2 linked regions of the Diceros bicornis minor genome follow. The protein of the gene in region 1 interacts with the protein of each later gene in a pairwise test. Links are inferred from orthologs where the notes say so. Each region holds a gene or a part of one and is shown on either strand. Other genes may lie near its edges.

Region 1 (10,658 bases):
CTTAACTCAAAATGGATAAGAGACCTAAATGTAAAATGAAAAACTATAAAACTTCTAGGGAAAAACATAGGAGAATATTTTTGTGACCTTGGGTTAAGCAATGACTTCTTAGACATAACATTAAAAGCAAAATCCATAAAAGAGAAATTTGATAGTTTGGACTTACTTCAGCAAAATTTAAAAACCTCTGGTCTTTGAAAGACACTGTTACTAAAATGAAAAGATAAGCTATAGACTGGAAGAAAATGTTTTCAAAGTACATGTATAATAAAGATTCATATTTAGAATATATAAAGAACTCCCAAATTTAACAATAAAAAAGCAAACAACTCAATAGAAAATGGGCAGAAGATTTCAACAGACACTTCACCAATAACATACAGATGGTAATTAAGCACATGAAAAGATGTTCAACATCAGTAGTCAATAGGGAAATGCAAATCAAAACTGTAATAAGATACCCACTAGAATGGCTACAATAAAAAAGACAGACAGAGGCCAGCCTGGTGGCTGAGCGGTTGAGTGCGCGCGCTCTGCTGCGGCGGCCCGGGGTTCGCAGGTTCGGATCCCGGGCGTGCACTGACACAGCGCTTGTCAAGCTATGCTGTGGCAGCATCCCATATAAAGTACAGGAAGATGGGCACAGATGTTAGCACAGGGCCAATCCTCCTCAGTGAAAAGAAGAAGATTGGCATCAGATGTTAGCTCAGGGCTAATCTTCCTCACAAAAAAAAAAAAAAAAAAAGACAGGGGCTGGCCCGGTGGCACAAGTGGTTAAGTGCGTGAACTCCGCTGCAGCGGCCTGGGGTTTGCCGGCTCAGATCCCAGGTGCGCACCAAGGCACTGCTTGGAAAGCCATGCTGTGGCAGCGTCCCATATAAAGTGGAGGAAGATGGGCATGGATGTTAGCCCAGGGCCAGCCTTCCTCGGCAAAAAAAAGAGGAGGATTGGCAGATGTTAGCACAGGGCTGATCTCCTCACCAAAAAAAAAAAAAAAAAAGACATAACGGTAACAAATGTTGGCAAGGGTGTGGAGAAATGGGAACCTGCATGCATTACTAGTGGGAACATAAAAGGTACAATTCCTTTGACAAAGAGGTTGGCAATTTCTTAAAAAGTTAAACATACGCCTACTCTTCTACTCCCAGAAATTTACCCAAGAGAAATGAAAGCATATGCACACATAAAGACTTGTACACCAATGTTCATAGCAACTTTATTTGTAATAGCCAAAAAACTGGAAACAACTCAACAACTGATGAATTAATAAACAAATTGTGGCATATCCATACAATGAAATACTACTCAGCAATGAAAGAAAATGGGCTACTGATACTGTCAATAGCATGGATAAACCTCAAAATAACTACTCTGAGTAAAAGAAGCCAGGCAAAAGCAAAGAGTACATACTGTATGTACCCATTTATATAGAATTCTAGAAAATGCAAACTAACATATAGTGACAGAAAGATCAGTGGTTGTCTGTGTGTTACTAGGGCAGGAAGAGACAGGAGGGAGGGATTATAAAAGAGCAGAAGGAAACTTTTTGGGATGATGGATATGTGATAATTTCACAGATATATACATATATCAAAATTTTTCAAATCGTGCACTTTAAATTTGCCCAGTTTATTGTATATCAATTATATCTCAATAAAGCAGCAAAAAATAATAATAACAAAAGGAGAGATGGCTAAAGAGACACAATGGTTGACGTTTGATGTTAGAAATTGACTGAACCTTCTCCAACATCATTCCCCCTGACAGTTGTCTGCTGGTTCCAGGCTATCCACCTAGAATGTGCAATCTGCTAGGCTTCAAAAGTACACACTGAGGCAGACTGCCATCAGCAACTCACTTAATTCCTCTTTTTAAATAGCTGTATACTTGAAAGAGGATCATCTTTGAATTAAATCCTCATAGAAAAGTGCTGTCCCAGTGTGGGTCTCACTTCAATAAGGCATTTTCTCAGGGCCATACATCTGCTTGTATCCCTGGGCTAAAATTTGCCTTCCCCTCAACCCTGACTTCATTATCTTACTAGGCCACACAAAGTTCTTCTCCTGAGTGTGTGAAGCCCTCTCTGATCCACTGTCCCTTAGCACCATATCCAGTTGCCACTAACTACCTGGTTCATATTGCCAGGACATAGGGGCTGTAACAAGGTCCCCCAATCCCACTTCCCTATCCCTGTCATGAATTTTACCTAGGGCAAGTACGCTCACCAAGCTATGGTGAAGACAAACTGGTTCAGAGAAGAGATGTGCAGACACTTGAAACAGACACAAGGATTCCCCAAGCCAAACAGACTATGACCTGGTTGAAAATATTAGCATGTCAGAGACAGAAAAAAGGTGTATGTGAGAAGAGAGTTTGATCATTAGTGACACACCATCCAGGGAAGGAAGAACCCATTTGTATCCCTTGATACTCTGTTTGAAGCTTTAAAGTGTTTTTTAAAATTTAGAATTCACTGATTAATCCCCTTTGTTCTAAATTCAAGTTTCACAAACAATCTTGTGGTTCTAATTTGGCTTCTGAATGTGGCAAGTATGCCCAGAGACCTCACTGAAATAACAAAAGAGGGTCTAATTCTCTAAGATGTTAGAATCTTCATTATAAATTAATAATTTGCCTTCCTGGGTTTATATCATAGTCTCGTGGATTTGTTGAATATCAGTGTGAGAAACAGACTCAACAAGTTAAAGACCAGATTCTCACATACTTTCCAAGATAAGGCCACCTTGTATGGCTTCTTGGGACACAGTCAGCCAGCCTTCCCCAGAGATATTCTTTTATTTACTTATTTTTTATTTCCACAGTCCATCTTTCTGTTACAGCACTTACTCCATACTATACATAGTTAGATGAGCATAGTTTAGAACTACAGAGTCTCAGGTACCTGAGGGTAGTTTTGGATCCAGTTTTGTACTGGCCTCCACCAGCACTGCTCAATAAATAACACTGAATTAAATTGAATCTGGATAGTGTGCAGAGTTGCTTTCTTTCATTTTTTAGTTGATTGGGAGTTAGAAAATTGGATACCAAAAACACTCCTTCCCAAGTACAAGCCTCTAATTCTCATAAACCTCTAATATTATAGTTAAGACACGTATGTTTTTAAAAGTACGCTGCACATTCCTGGAGACTTGATTTTTAAATGAAGGTCAGAGTAGCACCAACCTCAGTGAAGTCCCTGACACTGTTTCCTTTGAGAATTCCTGAAATGTTTAAAAACATTTCAAGGCTCGTCATTACATCAACTAAGATGAATGTAGAGGTTTGTCAGATGAGTAACTATTAATGAAATAATTAAAGCATGCTATTTATTTTAACAATTAAACCACAATTTAGAGAACCAAATTCTAATCCTACAAACTTTTTGTTACCAAAGACAGTAAGAAAAATCACACCTTTATGATAAGAAGTCACGATCCACTTAAAATTTTGCAATGGTAATGCTTCTTTTGATGAAAGGAGGTCACCCCAGTGTAGATAAAGTAGTTAAGAAGATTTTAAATTATAAATATATATTCAGATTAAATTTTTTTGTTTCAAGCTTTAAAAAAACTCCAAAGTACTCTGTAAAAAATATTCAACACCCCATAGATAGATATGTTAAAAAAAAAAGTACTTATATTTAGGCTAAAATTTCACTTTATAAAAAATCAAATAATGAATACTTCTTGCTTCATTCCTTCTTAAAAGCAGTAATTTATTATGGATTTCTTAATAGAAATGTGATTCCTTTAAGCACTGTTAACTGAATGTTTGATTCAGTCTTCTCAAATAAACAGTGGACAGTATGATGAATCAATACAATTAAGTGGCTGTAAATAAACTTGTTTCCTAGTTCACAAATAAAGCATAGTTCTGAACACAGAATACAGATTCCATTAATATTTAGTTCTGTAATAAATACTCAAAAGATCCAAATCCTGATTTTACACATAGGAAACTGAGGCCTAGAGAAATGAGTAACTTTTTTCAGATCCCAGTTAGTTAAGGGCAGCTTAGAGACTGAAACCACTATCGCCTTGTAGTTTGTTTCATGGGTACTAGCTTCCCATAAGAGAATAAGCCAAAGATGCTATGACAAGGAAATGCTTATTTCAAAAAAGGCAGCAGCACCATCTGTCTCTTCTCCAAAAAATCGTATGCATGGCAGATTTTCATCCTGCTACTGCTGCGTGAAGACAATTTGGGCCTCATTTGCCCGATCTTCCAAGCCAGAGCAAAGGAAGGGACCTGTTTGGGTGGAGCTTGTCCTGCACAACCTCATCCAGCCAACAGGCAGGGCTCCAGCTCTGTAGGGGAAGAGAGGTAGCCTAGGAAGAAGGGACCGTCACCAACCCCCATCTTGCTGTCTGTATCTAAGATAAATATGAAAAAAAAAATTAAAAAGAGGGTGTAAGAGAAGGCAGTGCCTACTCTTTCAAATGTACTCCCATGCACATTTCCTGATCCTTTATCTCCTTTTACTATCCCTAATGCTTCCACCCTGACATGGCCTTCTGAATCATGTATTCATCTCTCTTTTGACTCCACCCAACAAGCATGGCCTTCAACCTCATCTCCGCCAACAAAGCGGGTGATCTCCACATTAAGCAGAGACCTTGGGATAGAGACTGGGTTTCCCAAGATTTAGTCCGGTACAATCCAGCACCCCATCTTTATTTCTAGGCAACCCTCCACTGTCTCTCCCCCTCCCGTCCCCGCCACCAGCTGCATCACCCCTCACTCCTGGTGCCCTTCAACCTTCTCCAAGCTAATGTCACTTGGCACCAACCCCTCCCAGGCGCCCAGGTCTCCAGCCCCTGGGTCCCAGTCCCAGGAGCGGTTCTCTAGCCCAGCGCAAGGCGCGCCGCCCCTCTCGGCGCAGTCTGCAGCCTCCGGCGCACCCGCGGTGCTCTCACCTCATCCAGGGTGCGGCCGCCGCGACTGCCTCTTCCTCCTCGGCCGCTGCTGCCCAGCTCCCAGCCTGCTCGGGATGCCGTCCTTCCCGGCCGGGAGACCGCCGCGAGGGCTGTGGGGCTTGCGCCGTGTCCCCAGACCAGTAAGGCGCGTGGTGCGCCCGGCGGGATGCGCGGCAGCAGCTGCTGCAGTCGCAGCGGCGGCGGCAGCAGGATCCGCTGTTGGTCCTGTTCATGGATTTCCCGAGCCTGGCCACGCCAGTCCTAGCTACCGTCCCTGCTTGGTTTTCCTACGATCTTCCCGCACTGACAAGGCGCATCCATCGTCTAGGCGTGGATGAGTATTCACACCAGTTGCCACTGTTGTGGTGGAGACCTGGAAGGACTAGGCCTCCTCCGCGCCTGCCTCTGCCACCTGCTCCGCCCAGATTGCCTCTGTCCCTCTCCCACAAACATCCGCCGCTGCCTCTTCACCCTCTATCATCTCCCCATTCTCTCTCCACCTACTACCCCCACGTGGAGAGCTTTTCTTTCCCAGACTTCATTCTTTATTTTTCCTATCCGTTCTATTGTCACCATCCTCAATTTCCAACCTCAAGAACTTTCTCCTTTTCTCATTTCCTCTCTCCGTATTTTCCCAGTTTTTGTTCTCCTCCTCCCTCAAAAGCAGTCATCCTCTTGTATTATCCTCTCCTCAGAATCACTACTTCTCCAGGTTGTTGGCTAGCCTCTTTTCTCCCTCTTTCCCGCCTTCTCCTCCTTTTAAAATCTTCTTTTCAATTTTCCCTTTAGTTATTGTAAAAACCTTTCTCCTAAACAACCTCAGTTTTCCTTTCAGTTGAGGCCTTCTGATTGCCATTTTTCATGAAGAACTCATAGTAAAATATATATAGCTTGGTATCCACCATCAAGTCAAGGGTATGTTTTCATGGTTAGAAAAAAGTTCATAGGTCAAATAAGTCCTCCACTAAATGTTTGTTCTGAAAACCGTTTTCTTATATTCCAGTGTCCTCTAAGAATGGAAGCTAGTGAGTCTCCAGCAAAGCAGAATGCTTCTACTACACTATTCTATATGGCACAAAGCCTGCAAGGGAGAAGCTTTATCTTTGTGGTGGGTACTATCGATCCCAATGTTGATAGGCAATATAGTCACTATTGTTGATTGACTCGATGTGAACTGTGAAAATTAATAAAGGGAAACCTCATTTAAAATGGAGTTGGGAGGCTGGGAGGGGGAGCTGCCATGCAGTACCATTGAAGGTCAATTACAGAAAAGTCAATTATAGACCTCAACAGAAAGAAGTCAACAGGAAAGCACCGTCAATTACAGGAAGAAATGTAATTGGATCCCAAACAGAAATGGACTACCCCAGCAACTTAGCCAATGAGAAACTCTCAATGTCCTGAACTCTTGCTTTTCCCCAGTGAAGTGTCCTTCAAAACAATCCCTCCCATTTTCCTCCTTTTTCTCTATAAAATAACATTCCTCTCTCTTGTTTGTTGGATTTGCCAATGGTCCGCTATAGCATGCCCATTCCAAATTGCAATTCTATGACTATTCCCAAATAAATTCATTTTTCTGGTAAAATAACTGGCTGTTTTATTTTTAAGGTTAACAGAACAAAGCTGAACTCACCCTTAATTTATTTTTCCTTCCAAATATGCTGTTCAGTCTTGTTTTTTTTTAACCCCCACACTACCATCAACCCAGTGGCTCAAGCCTCAAACCTGGGAGTCACTTGAGACTTGTCTCTCTCACTTATCCATCTCATCCAGTTTTTAATTCCACTTCTTTACTATTTCTTTATCTTTAAGTGGTCGCCCCCATCATGATTCCAACTGCCTCTTGGAAATAACGCTATCTAGTGTCTCATCAAGTATCTCATTATTCTTTCTTTCAAACCTCCTAACTTAATCTATATCTTTACCTCTCTTTCTTTCCAATCTATCTTCCCTGGGCAGTTTACCCTACCGCTCTCATCTCTACTTAGAAAGTGTTAATTATCTTTTGTTGTCTTTATATTTTTGGCCTCCCATTCTCCATTAGCTCCATCCCCAGCCTATAAAGACGCTCAAGTCTCCTCATCCCTAAAACAAAGTTCTTCCACCTCTAACCACCGTCATAGCTCTCACTTCCCTTCATAACCAGTTTGCTTAAATACATTGTATTCATTTGATGTCTATACTTCCTGACTTCCATTCATTCTTTACCACCTAATTCTTGGCAGTCGGGCTTCTAATCCTATTACTTAGCTGAAGCTGCTCTCCTAGCTGACTCAGACTTTGGCTTTGCCCACAGACGAGTAGTAGATTTTATATAATACACAAATTAAAAGGAATGGGTTCATTAATTTAAAGAGAATATGCCATCTTCGTTAGTTGAGGCAGACAAACAGTTCATCGAAATTACCACAAACCCAAAAGCTAAGAAGTGCTGAGACTTCCAGTTCCAGCCAAAATGGAGGAGCATGTATCAGATTAACTTTTTCCTCCTGGGCAAGGGGAGTGGAATTGCATAGAATATATAAATATTAATAAATATATAAATACTATATATATTTAAATATAGGAAAATACAAAAACAAGTCTTGGAAGGCATTGAGGAGTAGCCAAAGCAAACAGGAATCCAATCTATGATCCTTGAGAGAAGAGAAGCACATGAGGTGAGCTCCATATTCACCCTGGGATTTTTCTCCTGAGAGAATTTTACAAATCAGGTGCTAGAGAATAAAGGCCAAGTACAAGATGGCAGTATTACTGGGCTAAAGAGACAAAGGTGAAAGTTCAGGGCTGCCAAAGTGGCTGGGACTTGAGGGAGAATCCCCAGAGAGGGGAGAATGGCAGAGAAGCAGCTCAATAATCTGGGTACAAATTCCCCTCAGAATAGGGGCCAGTTCCTAAGCCCAGCATGCACAAAGCAAGATGCCAGAAAACAGCAGTATGGAGCCTAATGAGCTAAGAAGAGATTTCAGCATCTAACACAAGTTGGACTTCAAGCCTGTCCAAGGTAGAGAGACACCCAGGGCTTTCAGCTGATACCCAAAAAGGCCACACTATTAGAGTAAGGGCAATACAGTACTGAAATAGAATAGGTCTAACAAAGCTTAAAACCACGTCTTTACAGGATCAAACTGATCTGCCAGTATTCTTTCTGCATACCAGAACAAAACTGAACTCTTGGGAGTTGAATAACATTATCCATAGCCTCTACAATTTTTTCATCCACAATGTCTAGGATCCAAGATAAAATTATGAGGCATTCTAAAAATCAAATCCAAGTGACTAACCACTAAGAGAAAAATTAATAGAAACAGACCTGGATATTAGAGTTGACAGGACTTGAAATAACTATGACTAATAGGTTTAAGAAAATAGAGGAAGAAATGAGCAATGATGTAAAATGGATAATTTACTTCAATATAGAATTGGAATCTATAAAAAAATCAGATGGAAATTCTGAATATAAAAATTACAATAACTGAAAATAAGAGCCCATTGGGTGTGTTTCCAGCGGTCTGAATACAGCAGAAGTCAGGATTAGTGAAGTGGTAGGTAGGTCAATAGAAAATTCCAAAATGAAGGACAGAAAAAAGAAGAGAAAAAAGAGCAGAGCATAACAGACATGTGGAATACAGTCAAAAGATAAAATATATGTGTAATTACAGTCTCTGAAAGAGAGGAGAGCGTGAGTGGGCTAAAAGCAATATCCCAGGAGATAAAGACTAAGAATTTTCTAAAACTGATGAAAGATATTGCCTTCTTAGATTCCAGAAGTTCAGTAAACCCCAAGTAGAATAAAAAACCAATATATCTCGGAAATATTAGAAGCAGTTTCAACTCAGAAATGTGCTGAAGACAATTCTCCAGCTGAAATAAAGTAGGGAATCTTGATCAGGAGGCAGGTTTCATAGGCCTAATCAGTCTCATAGCGTTTACACAGTGGCTGGAGTCACTGTGCAAGGGCTGAAAATGAACACGCACAAGAGAATATGAAAATTATGTCACTAAACAGAGCCTACACTCAAATCAGCCCTTGGGTGTCAGGAAAAAAGGGGGAAATGGAAATTAATAGGTTTTGATTATGCTGGTGGAAAACCAAAATCAATAAGCTCATTAAAACATAGTTAGTAACCGGAAAAAAAGACTGCCAACCTTTAAATTGCTAAATTTTATAACAAGGCAGGAAAATCTCAAGTGTCCTTCCCTGAAAGAGGAAACAATTTGTATAGGTGATTCCCACCTCCATTTGTCATGTATTAAACACAGCACAATAATTAACCTCATCATGGGAAACATTTCTCTCAATTGAGACTATGTTTACAAGTCATAGGTTCAGATAACTGGCATAAAATGATTGGTAAGCCAGAGAAGCTAAAACTGAAAAGGTTTTCTCTTCTTTCTCTACTCTTGATGCTGAGTTTCTGCTACGCTGTTCAGAAACAGCTATGTGGTTCTGACATATCCCAAGTAGTACACTGGCTTCTGATAACACCATTTTGTTTGGGTAGCTCTATGGCCTTGGAATTTACTTTTTAATTTTAATGTTTTGGCTTAATTAAATTAGTATTAATTTAATATTTTGATAATTTAATATTAAGTGTCCTATTATGTTTTGGATTGTTTGAAAGTAAGAAACATCAGAAATTTTGATTGAATCAATTCAAATTGAAGATACTGAAGAAATTTTCCAGTGAAAACAGCTCAGCCTTACAGCTGATGAAAGAATCCTGATTCTACCCAGGCACCTGTTTAAGAACAATGCTGGCTGAGCCTAAGTATAATAAGTAGTTGGGAAATAATGATTTTTGCATTTTAATTTCTGTGAACTTCACAGAGTCTGGATTTTCTATGCAGTTTACTTTACAAAGAGAAGGAGAGTTAATCTCCCAACTGAAAATTTGATAATGAAAAAAGACTAATATCCTAATTTGAAGTATCTTCTGATATTGTATAATTTTAGTGTCTTTCTCTTGACATTTTATTTCATTACATGTTTTTAGTATACTGTATTAGACAACATAACAAGTTAATAGTTTAACCTGGTAAATGGAATAGGAAATAGTAGCGATTATATCTATTGGCCTTACTTACAGTCAGGCTTTGGAATTAATTTAATTAATGTACTAGCTTGACCTATTTCAGAGCCTCTGAGCATAAAAACTTAACTATCCTCCTGTGGTTTTCAGAGTGGGGCTACCTGAAGTTGGGGACAGAATTGTCCTAATTAGACTGCTCTCTCCCCCTCAAGAAGAGAGCCAGCCTCTGGTTTAACAAATGGTAAAGCCCAACTGGCTGAGAAAACAAAAAGCCTGAAAATATTAGGAGGGAATTTCTTTGCTCCAGTGCTCCTCTTTCCATAATGGAGAAACTTCCATTCAGACGCATTTTGGGGTGACACTCCTTGCTCTTTCTCATCCCTTTCACTTATTATTCCTCTGGGAAAGAGTGATTGATCTGATTCATGATTTTTTGTTATTGTTTTATTGTTTTATTCATATTTTTATTTTTTCAATGAGGACATGGCCCTTCACTAACATCTGTTGCCAATCCTCCTCTTTTTGCCTGAGGAAGATTGGCCCTGAGCTAACATCCATGCCAGTCTTCCTCTGCTTTGTATGTGGGTTGCTGCCACAGCCTGGCTTGATGAGTGGTGTAGACCCACACCCGGGATTCAAACTCAGGAACTCCGGGCCGCCAAAGCGGAGTGCGCCAAACTTAACCACTATGCCACCAGGCTGGCCCCTG
Region 2 (10,228 bases), on another chromosome or scaffold:
GTAGATGCGGGTATCAGGCGAAAATAGAGAGAAAAAGGCCAGAACTCTAACCAACTGCTCTTGCCGCCTCCATCCTTGCCCCCACCACCCCAAGTCTTTCCTCAGAACACAGCCAGGGTGATACTGTTAAAAACGTGGTTTTGATTATGTTATTCCTCTACTTAAAACCTTCCAACAGGGGCTGGCCCCGTGGCGTAGCGGTTAAGTGCGTGCGCTCCACTGCTGGCAGTCCAGATTCAGATCCCGGGCGCGCACTGATGCACCGCTTGTCGGGCCATGCTGTGGCTGCGTCCCATATAAAGTGGAGGAAGATGGGCACAGATGTTGGCCCAGGGCCAGTCTTCCTCAGCAAAAAGAGGAGGATTGGCATGGATGTTAGCTCAGGGCTGATCTTCCTCACAAAAAAAAAATACAAAAAAACCCACAAACCTTCCAACAGCTTTCCATCTCACTCAGAGTAAAAGCCAAAGTCCTTTCAAAGAGCTTCGAGGCCCTACGAGGTCCCACCCCATCTCTCTGACCTCATCTCGTTAGGCTCCCACTCCTCACCCTGCTCTACCCACTGGCCTTCTTGCTATTTCCTGAACCTAGGGCATGCTCCACCTCAGGGCCTTTGCACTTGATGTTTCTTCTGCCTGGAACACTCTTCCTCCAAATATCCACATGCCTCCCTCCCTCGTCCTTTTCAGGTCCTTTCTCAAACGTCACTTTCTCAGTGAGGCCTGCCCTGAGCACCCTATTTAAAATCACAACCCCAGCCTCATCCCTCACCTTCCCCACTTTATTTTTCTCTATAGCACTTATCACCATTTGACGTTCCATACACTTTCCCTTTGGAATGCCTATCTCCCAGCACCTGGAACAATGCCTGGAAGGTAGTCACTCAATAAATGATTTGAGGAATGACTGGACGAAGGAATGCAGGAAGAATCCAAGATCAGGAATCAAAGAGAACTGACCCACACCATATAGTTTTGTAATCTTGTGGAAACTGAAACTAAAAAGCCTTCCTGGAACAACTCTGAACACTACCTGAAACATGTGCAAAGGATACGAATGTCGATAATGTCTCTCAATATCCTGCAACCATTCCAACATGTCGGCCACAGAGGGGCTCACAACGGAGGCCTGCAGGGCGGCATCAATGCCGATCGCGTCTGCACGCTGCACATAGATCTGAAGCACGCGTTCCACGTGGCTGCTGACTGTGTCTCGCACCTTGAGGAGGGCAGCTCTGGGGGAAAACGTCTGGTATTAGGCAACACCATGAGGAAGGCCTTGGCACACTGACATTCTGGACCAGGTGATTCTTTGTGGTGAAGGGCTGCTCTCCACATTGTAGGATGTTTAGCAGCATCCCTGGCCTCCGCCCACTAGATGACAGGAGCAAACCACAGCTCTACCTTCCCCAAGTTGTGACAATCAATAATGTCTCTACATATTGCCAAACGTCCCAACCCACAAAACTGCCTCCAAACGAGACCAACTGGTCTAAGATTAGTGATGGTGCCTTGGAGGTAGGGGTGGCTCAAAAATTAAGAATTGACTTAAAGATAGAGAGGCTGAAGAAGTTACATGGCTCTCAAAACTGTATGATAAGCCCAGTTGCTAAAGAAAGTAAAGACCAAGGGGCCTTTCCGGGGCTGCCATAAAACCACATGAAGAGAGCAAATGCTCACCCACAGTCCCATGCCCCGTATGTGAAAGGCAATAAGCAAGAGGAAACCAAGGCAACCAACCAGCACTGTTCACACGCTAGTAAATTCTTGAACGGTAAAGTCTGGGCTCTGGATGCACAGAGACTACTATGGATCTTAAGAAAGTCACTTATTCTCAATCATGTATAAAAATGTTGTGTTGTGCTCACTGCACAACCTAAGGTACCTAGAACATCGGGACTGGGTCACAAAACAACAAACACTTATTCAATGAAGGAATGAATGAAAAGGATTATTATGAAGCGCTTGAGGGAGTGCCTAGCCTATGGTAAATATTGTTATTTTTCCATTGGTGACTCCAAGGGGCCCAGCCACCAAGATGAAGGCTACAACTTCCCAAAGGGCAAGGCATTCCCTAGCCTAGAATTGTGGCTTTCAAATATGTTTGACCTTGACTCACGATTAAAAAATAGACTTACAATAACAGCCCAATACCCACACACAAATATGTAATCAATTGAAATAAAAGTTCACGATTTTTCGAACGTACCACAACATAACTTAATTGAGTGACTGTCTATCTCTTCCACTCAGCTAAGGAATACGTCTGGTTCATTGTATTCCCAGGACCCTGTGCCTGGCATCCCACAGGGGCTTAATATATTTTGTACAAGTGAATACAAAGAAGGTCCTCATCTTTGACAGACGGTTTCCTATCAGTCTATGGCACAAACTCTATACACTAGAACCTTGTTTTGTTCTGGTCAAGGAAAGCCATATGTGCTCTGGCTCTTCTCTATCCTCAATTACCTAGGACTCTAAGATAGACGGTCTAACATCAGGCATAAGAAGAGCTTAGAGATGTGCCACTCCCAGGAAGAGAGACATCAGTGTACCACAGAACAAAGTGGTGGTTACGAGCTCCAGCCTTGGTGTCAGGCACATTTCGGTTGGAGTCCCAGCTTTACTATTTACTAGCTGTGCGACCACAGGCAATCTGCCTGAGCCTTTTTCCTCGCCTGCAAAACAGTATTAAGTGAAGTTAAGTCACACAGGTGCCGAAAAGATTTTATGAGATAATGCTTATAAAACCGTTAGCTCTAGCACCTACTGTTTCCAGTATAGCTCTCATTGCTCTTTTTTTTTGGAGGAGGAGCACTGGTGAGGAAGATTGGCCCTGAGCCAACATCTGTGCCAATCTTCCTCTACTTTGTATGTGGGTCGCTGCCACAGCCTGGCTTGATGAGTGGTATAGGTCCATACCTGGGATCCGAACCCACGAACCCCAAACCTGGGCTGCCACAGCAGAGTGCGCTGAACTTAACCACTATGCCACCAGGCCAGCCCCTCCTCACTGCTTTTTACCAAAGAAAACTATAGAGAAGGGTTAATAAGCCTTCTTCATTGCTTTTCTGTTCCGCTTTTGTAACTTCTACTAAGTCCACCACTGCCATGCCTAGCCTGAAAACGGAAATGCCAGAAAATGGCTTTTTGACAGAGGTCTCAAAGCAACAGATGGAAAGGATGAGACACCCCCAAAAATCACGCTCTCAAGAAGAAAAACACCCTTCTGACCGATCCGAGCTACTTATAAAACATCCTCCAAGAAAGAGCGCCATCGAGCCTCTTACAGCCTCTCCCCTAGCTTGTCCATGACAGTGTCACCAGCCGCCAGCTGCTTGCGCCTGAGCCGCTCCTTTAAATCTGGGAAGGCTCGAAGTGACGGCACATCCTCGAATCTCAGGTTCTCAGCCGCCTGCAGCTGCTCGGCCAAGTTGCTGAGGGAGGCCAGGAGGGGCTGGCAGTCCCGTAGGGTGCTCTGCCACAGGCCCTGCTGCTCCTCCACCACGGGAAAGCACTTCCTCAGGGCCTCCTGCACAGCAAGCAAAGGCTGGTCTTGAGTCATCTTCTGTTGGGAGAAAAAAAGAAACCAGAAAGAAAACAACAGCATTAGGGTCCCCAGTAGGTAGGGGAAGTACCGGGTCAAGGGTGGGAGTTATTTCCGTTCTCAGGCGAGGTCCATCTACACCAGGGTTTCTATCTTGGCAGGTAGGGCGGGCTGTCTATCCTTTCCGACAGGAGCTCCCGGCGCGAGGCCTTGTCTTACCTCTAGAGGGGCTCTCGGGAGGCAGATCCTTGTTTCCCACCTCGGGAACGGTTTCCTGACTCTCCCACGGAGGAGGCTCGTCCCTGGCTAGGGCAGTCTCCTGCTTTAGACTGCGGATTCCCGGGACCGAAGCCCGGTCTCCCACGCCGGACCCGTGCTTCCAGAGCAGGAATGCTGTCTCCTCTCCTTGAGACTGCCAGTCGTTGTCCCTAAACCTGCGAGAACACTTGAAGCAAGGCAGAGCCGGACAACCCGGTAAAGCCACCACCTTGCGCCCGCAGCTTCTCTACGCATGCCCCAACGCGGCTACTGAGTCGCGAAAATATGTCGTCAGCCGCAATGCCTTCTGGGTGCTGTAGTCCTACGTGTGGACTGGCTGCCTGAGCACAGAGCTTCCTTGTGATTGGATGTTGTGGAACCCTCCCAAGACGGCGACTTCTCATTGGTCAGCCTGTGGCAGTTTGAATTTGGTGGCGGCGGTCGCACGTCCGGTTGGCCGCGGAGCCGCTCCCTCTCAGCTGGAGCGGCGAGGTTTTTCAGCCCTTGTTTCTCGACCTGCAGGTATGTGCCTTTTAAGTCCTGGCCCCTAGGGCAGGGGTCCCCCTTCTAGCCCCCTAGGGCGCCCGTCCGCCCTCTCCCGCCACTTCGCGACCCCTTTCCCTCCCCCATCTCCGCCGCTGACCCCTTCTAGCTCGGTTCCCCGCTCCCCGCAGCCTCCACCGAAGCGCCATGGCTCCGTCTAGGAAGGGCAGCAATCGAGTAGCCAAGACTAACTCGCTACGGAGCCGGAAGCTCGCCTCCTTTCTTAAGGACTTCGACCGTGAAGGTGAGGGGCGGACCCCTGGTCGTCGCGGCTACCGGGGGCGATCGCGGGGCGCTGGCGGGTTGGGGCGCAGGCAGCACGGATTCGAGGCCCCATTGACCCGCTCGGTGACCCGTGTCCTGTCGGCTCTGCCCTCTCGCAGTGCAAATACGATCCAAGCAAATTCAGTCAGACAGGCAGAACCTCCTCAAGGAGTTGGATAACCTGTACAACATCGAGATCCTGCGGCTGCCCAAGGCGCTGCGCGAGATGAACTGGCTGGACTACTTCGGTAAGAGCTGCTGGAGTGTGCCCAGGCCTCGGTCTGGAGCCCCTCTGTGGTTATCGTGACCAGTGAGGTCTTCCATGATCACTATAGGAAACTGCAGCACCCCCACCTCCCCTTTTTTAATATACATATTTTATCCAACTATTTAAAAACGAATGAATGAGTAACTTGATTTGCTACCAGAGTTCGGGTGGAAGGATAACCCCAAGCAGTGCTTTCTGCATCTTATGGAAATTGCCAATTTAAAAATGGGCAAATCGAATTGTGAAGTGCAAGGACCTGAGAGTTTTCCTGGCCAGAGAAAAATCCCAGCCTGTTCCCCACCCCCTTGTTAAATGTCCAGGGAAATGCAAGAGGCTGTCCTTTCTGCTGGATTACCCTTTTTCTGTTTTGCTTATTGTTAATTACACAGCATGTAGCCTCTTTCCTGGGTAGAAATGCCTGTTCTGCTCAAATAGTAGACATTTAATGATTCTTTTGATTCGCTGTTTTATTTAGTAATCTTGTTTACACATTTCTACAAATATTCATTGAGCGTGTGTGTCAGTAACAAGGCTGGATGCCCTGAGGAATAAAACAGACATCGTCCCTACTCTCAGGAACTGACAAGTTAGTAGAGAAGGATCATTTAAAAAATTCACACAAGGTTATATAATGAAAATTAGTCAGTAAGCACATTTGTATAGTGCTTCCTATGCCAGACAGGCATTGTACCAAGTGTTTTGCATATATTAACTAATTTTGTCCTCATAATGACCATATTCATTATTAATATTGTCCCTATTTTATGGATGACAAGGTTAAGGTGCAGAGAGATTGGTTACTTTGCTCAAGGTCTCATAAACCAGTTGGGGGCAGTCTGTCTGAACGCAGGCATTCTGGTTTTGAAACCTGAGTTTTTAACTATTATAGAATACTAGGAGTATTTCTAGCGGGAGGACCTAACCTCACTTTTTGTTCTACATCTAAATCTTGCAGAGACCCTTTCATTCAACACACATTTACCACATAGCTACTGTATGACATATTTTTGCAAGAAGCTATGGATATTATCTCTGTCCTCAAAGAATTCAGTTCAGGGCAGGGGTGGACACTTAAACAACTTTGAGTAGTTGTTGGGTATGACGAGAGTGAGCAGCTAACTCAACATGTAGCAATCTGCTGTGATAGCAAAATGGGCAGAGTTCGGGGTCTGGGCTGAGTTTGAAGGATGAATTAGAAGTTTGTCGGGTGCAGAGGAAATCATAAGTACCAGGCCTCTGAGTCATGAGAGGTGGTGGCACATTTGGGAAATAACAGGAACTTTGGTGTGGTGGAACACAGGATAGGTCGTGGAGGGGATGAGTCAAGCTTGGAGGAAGATTAGACTAGATTGTGAAGGTCCTTGAATGTTGGACCAAGGGCTTAATCTGGTCCAGTTTTAGAAAGATAACTGGTTGTATTAGGGAAGATGATTTGTCATTAAGATCTGATAGTAACTAAACAAAATGTTCTTTTTAAAGCTCTTGGAGGAAACAAGCAGGCCCTGGAAGAGGCAGCAACAGTAAGTGACTTGTTTTATTTTTAAACTGTTGGTTAGTTTTTAAGTTTAGTCTGGTCACAAAATCCAACCAGTGGGTGCTTACTGTGGAAGAGGTTCCACAGGGGACACTATCTGTTTGTGTCAGCTGAAAAATTAGAGTCGTCAAATGCTGAGTACATGAAGACCGAATAGTTTTGAGCCCTATGAAGAAAGGCAGTTCTATTTTTGGCAGGTTCTTTGCAGCTCTTTGCCCTGACCTCTGCAGGGGAAGTAGAAAGCCTTAAATCCAAGTTCCTTTAAGCCCCTGGATCATTACACAGTGACTTGGCCTGCTAGGTGACAAAGAGACTGTTGCTTTATCGTGTCAATACCACAGAAGCTGTACTCTTGCTTGAGTCTCTCGGGATTCCCCACCCCCTCTCACTTCCTTCCTCCCAGCATCAGCACCAGGACTGAAGGCAGGAAGATGGGGAAGCAAAATAACACGTTTAGATCTGTACTGTCCATTACAATAGCCACCAGCTACATGTAGCTGTTTAAATTAATTAAAAGTAATAAAATTAAAAGTTAAGTTCCTCAGACACATTAGCTACATTTCAAATGTTCAGTAGCCACGCGTGACTAGTGGCTACCATATTGGACAGCTCAGCAATAGAGCATTTCTACCCTGCAGAAAGTTCTATTGGACAGTGTTGGGAACTAGTCCATAAATGGGTTTCACAGAGACCCTAAACTCTCTAAAATCACACATGAACAATGTGTGTGTTTACATGTATTTGTGTATCTTTCTGGGGAGAAAGTTGATTATGGCCTTCGTCAGATTTACAGATGGAACTGTAGACTCTACATCCATCCAGACTCTACATCCTTCTATGAGTTGATCAGAATCATTTGGAATCGCAGAGTTTGAAGCAATCTAATTACAAAGGGTACATAGTAGCACTGAATAGCAGATCTCCAACCAGCGTCAGAAGTTAAAGGTACTTAGGAGCCAGTTGTTGAATCAGGAAAAAATTAGAGAGCTTGGGGGTGAATCTTGTAGGAGAGAGAGGGCCAGTAACTGAGAAATAAAATCAACAACTAGTAAAACGTTCTTAGTCCCTGCTTTGTCTTTCTTTAATATGTCTCCCCATCCACACCCAGATCTAATGTTTCAGAAGACTTACCTCTGAGATGAATCATAGCTAATGCACCACCCTTTTTTTTAACTAATCAGACATATAGAACCACAGATCAGAGCTTCTAATGTAGTGTGAGACATCCAGTGTCATCACACCAGGTGGAGAGAATTCTAGCGTTAGATAATGTGATTTAAAACTCCGGGAAGAAATGATACTTTGGTATAAAAGCTCTTAGTTGTTAAGTATGTGAGGGCTTCCAAGACTCCCTCCAGGATTGGTAATTGGCTAGGAGGACTCCCAGGGCTCAGCGTATAGTCATACTCATGGCTATGATTTATTACAGTGAAAGGATACAAAGCAAATCAGCAAAGGGGAAGGTGGGTGGGGCAAAGTCCAGGAGACCAGGCTCAGGCTCCCAAGAGTCCTCTCCCAGTGGAGTCACACATGACACGCTTAATTCAACAGGTGTGAAAAGTTGTCTACCAGAGAAGCTCATTAGATACTCAATGCCCAGGGTTTTTGTTGGGGGCTGGTCACATAGGCATCTTCTGCCTAGCATATACCAAAATGCCAGACTTGCAGAAGGAACGCAGGTGTTCAGCATAAACCATGTTGTTTGTACAAAGCTTAGGCACAGTGAGCCATTCTCCTGAGGGAATGGTGGGAACCCTGCAATGCAAGTTCTCATGCCAGCCATGGGCCAGCCATGTAAACAGGCCTTTCTACGGATGTCAGTCTCAGGCCTGTTAACTCTTCTGCACGGTGGGTGGTCAGTGGCCTGCCACCGGTGATACCTTCATAAACATGCCAGTTGTTTCTAGAGATGGCAGAAAGTTGGCCACCACATTCCATTCCATCAGCCACTTCAGACATCACTAATCTATTGCAACACTGTTTCTTACTAAGCTTGGACAGCCTCAGAATCCTTCTCTGAGCACTTCATGTAGTCTCTACTAATCTAGAGGTAAAACCTGGGTCATTCCTAGTCTGTAACAACTCTCTTGTGCCCTGTGAGGAAAGGCCTACGAATCATGACTGCCCTTGGCTATTCCCATACGTATAGGTGTCACCACTGGGAACAAATTTAATTAGAATGGCAACTGGAAGCCTTTTTGAAGGACCCAGGAGCACAATAGAAAACTTTATTGACCCTCTAGACTTAAAAAAAGAAAATGAGGGGCCAGCCCGTTGGCGTAGTGGTTAAGTTTGCGTGCTCTGCTTCAGTGGCCTGGGGTTTGCGGGTTTGGATCCCAGGCGTGGACCTACACACAGCTCATCAAGCCATGCTGTGGCGGCCTCCCACATACAAAATAGAGGAAGATTGGCACAGGTGTTAGCTCGGGGCCAGTCTTCCTCACCAAAAAAAAGAATAAAGAAAGAAAATGAGGGGGGCTGGCCTGGTGGTGTAGCGGTTAAGTGTGTGTGCTCCACTGCAGTCGCCCGAGGGTCCGCAGGTTTGGATCCCGGGTGTGCACCTATGGACTACTTGTCGGGCCATGCTGTGGCAGCATCCCATATAAAGTAGAGGAAGATGGGCACGATGTTAGCCCAGGGCCAATCTTCCTCAGCAAAAAGAGGAGGATTGGCATCGGATGTTAGCTCAGGTCTGATCTTCGTCACCAAAAAAAAAAAACCAAAAAGAAAAGAAAGAATGAAAATGAGAAGTCTGACGCAGCACCAACTGTCGTAGAGAATGTGGGTCATTAGGAACTTGTGTTGTTTGCCCATGGGATGGAAACAAGTGCAACCACTTTGGAAACCAATGAGGCATAACATCAAGGCTGATGTTTGTGCACCCTAAAACCCTGTAATGCTCTATCCCTAAGTATAGAGCCAAGAGATAACTTGGACATGCACATCAGACACGAGTGTAGGACAGTTTAAAGTAGCAGTGTTTGTAACAGCAAAAGACAGTTGACAGGAGATTGGACAAATCCATGGGATATAGTCACACAGTAGGATATTATATAGCAGTGGAAACAAACTGACTACAACCACAAATAGTGGTCAGAAACAAAACCAAACAAAATATTGTTTAAGCACACATAGTTTGTGAAGAAATATATATACACACACACACACACACACCATACACAGACATTTTCTTTTAAGCAAGTGGAATAATAGTGGTTGTCTCTGGGGAATGACAGAGTTAGGAGACTGGTCACCTTTGGGGGAGAGAAAAGGAAATAGAACAGGGAAAAGTACATGGAAGCAAGTTATTGGCACTGTTTTAGGTCTTGGGTTGTATGTGGGTTTATGGTAGTTCATTTTACTATGTTATAACTAAAATGTAACAACCTTTTGTATGTATCAAATAATATGTTTTTAACCTTAAAATATTGTTCCTCATATTTGATGGAATCTGCCTGGTGTTTTCTGCTATGTTTGTCACAGGCTGACCTGGATATCACAGAAATAAACAAACTAACAGCAGAAGCTATTCAGACACCCCTGAAATCTGCCAAAAGTGAGTACCTTTCACAACTCCTTGTTGAGCTGAGAAAGCCGAGGCCCAGAGTGGTAGGCCAGCTGCCTTGGGAGGCTTCATTGGTGGAGGCTTTTAGCTGAGAAAGCCGAGGCCCAGAATGGTAGGCCAGCTGCCTTGGGAGGCCTCATTGGTGGAGGCTTTTTCTTCTGATGTCTGGTCCTCAGTCTTGTAAATCCAAAAATTTAATTTTGGCCGCTGCATTCAGTTAATTGTATGCAGGACTGAAAGTAACCAAACT

What was found. The genes of interacting proteins can lie anywhere in the genome.
Region 2: the proteins of PDE4DIP (region 1) and AIRIM interact in binary tests that used the Homo sapiens proteins (3 or more experiments, as listed by UniProt). The two-hybrid records come from large-scale screens. The link is inferred for Diceros bicornis minor from reciprocal best matches to the Homo sapiens genes PDE4DIP and AIRIM.

Annotation. Positions count from the first base shown.
Region 1 is NC_080743.1:52,079,238-52,089,895, reverse strand, and holds the start of PDE4DIP (myomegalin), read right to left. Parts: upstream 5,150-10,658; coding exon 4,917-5,149; intron 1-4,916. UniProt on the Homo sapiens protein: Functions as an anchor sequestering components of the cAMP-dependent pathway to Golgi and/or centrosomes.
Region 2 is NC_080752.1:51,709,598-51,719,825, forward strand, and holds the start of AIRIM (AFG2-interacting ribosome maturation factor), read right to left. Parts: upstream 4,062-10,228; 5' UTR 3,766-4,061; intron 3,568-3,765; 5' UTR 3,565-3,567; coding exon 3,290-3,564; intron 1,235-3,289; coding exon 1,055-1,234; intron 1-1,054. Other genes in the region: CDCA8 (borealin), read left to right, coding at 4,495-4,591, 4,731-4,859, 6,359-6,399, 9,897-9,969. UniProt on the Homo sapiens protein: Part of the 55LCC heterohexameric ATPase complex which is chromatin-associated and promotes replisome proteostasis to maintain replication fork progression and genome stability.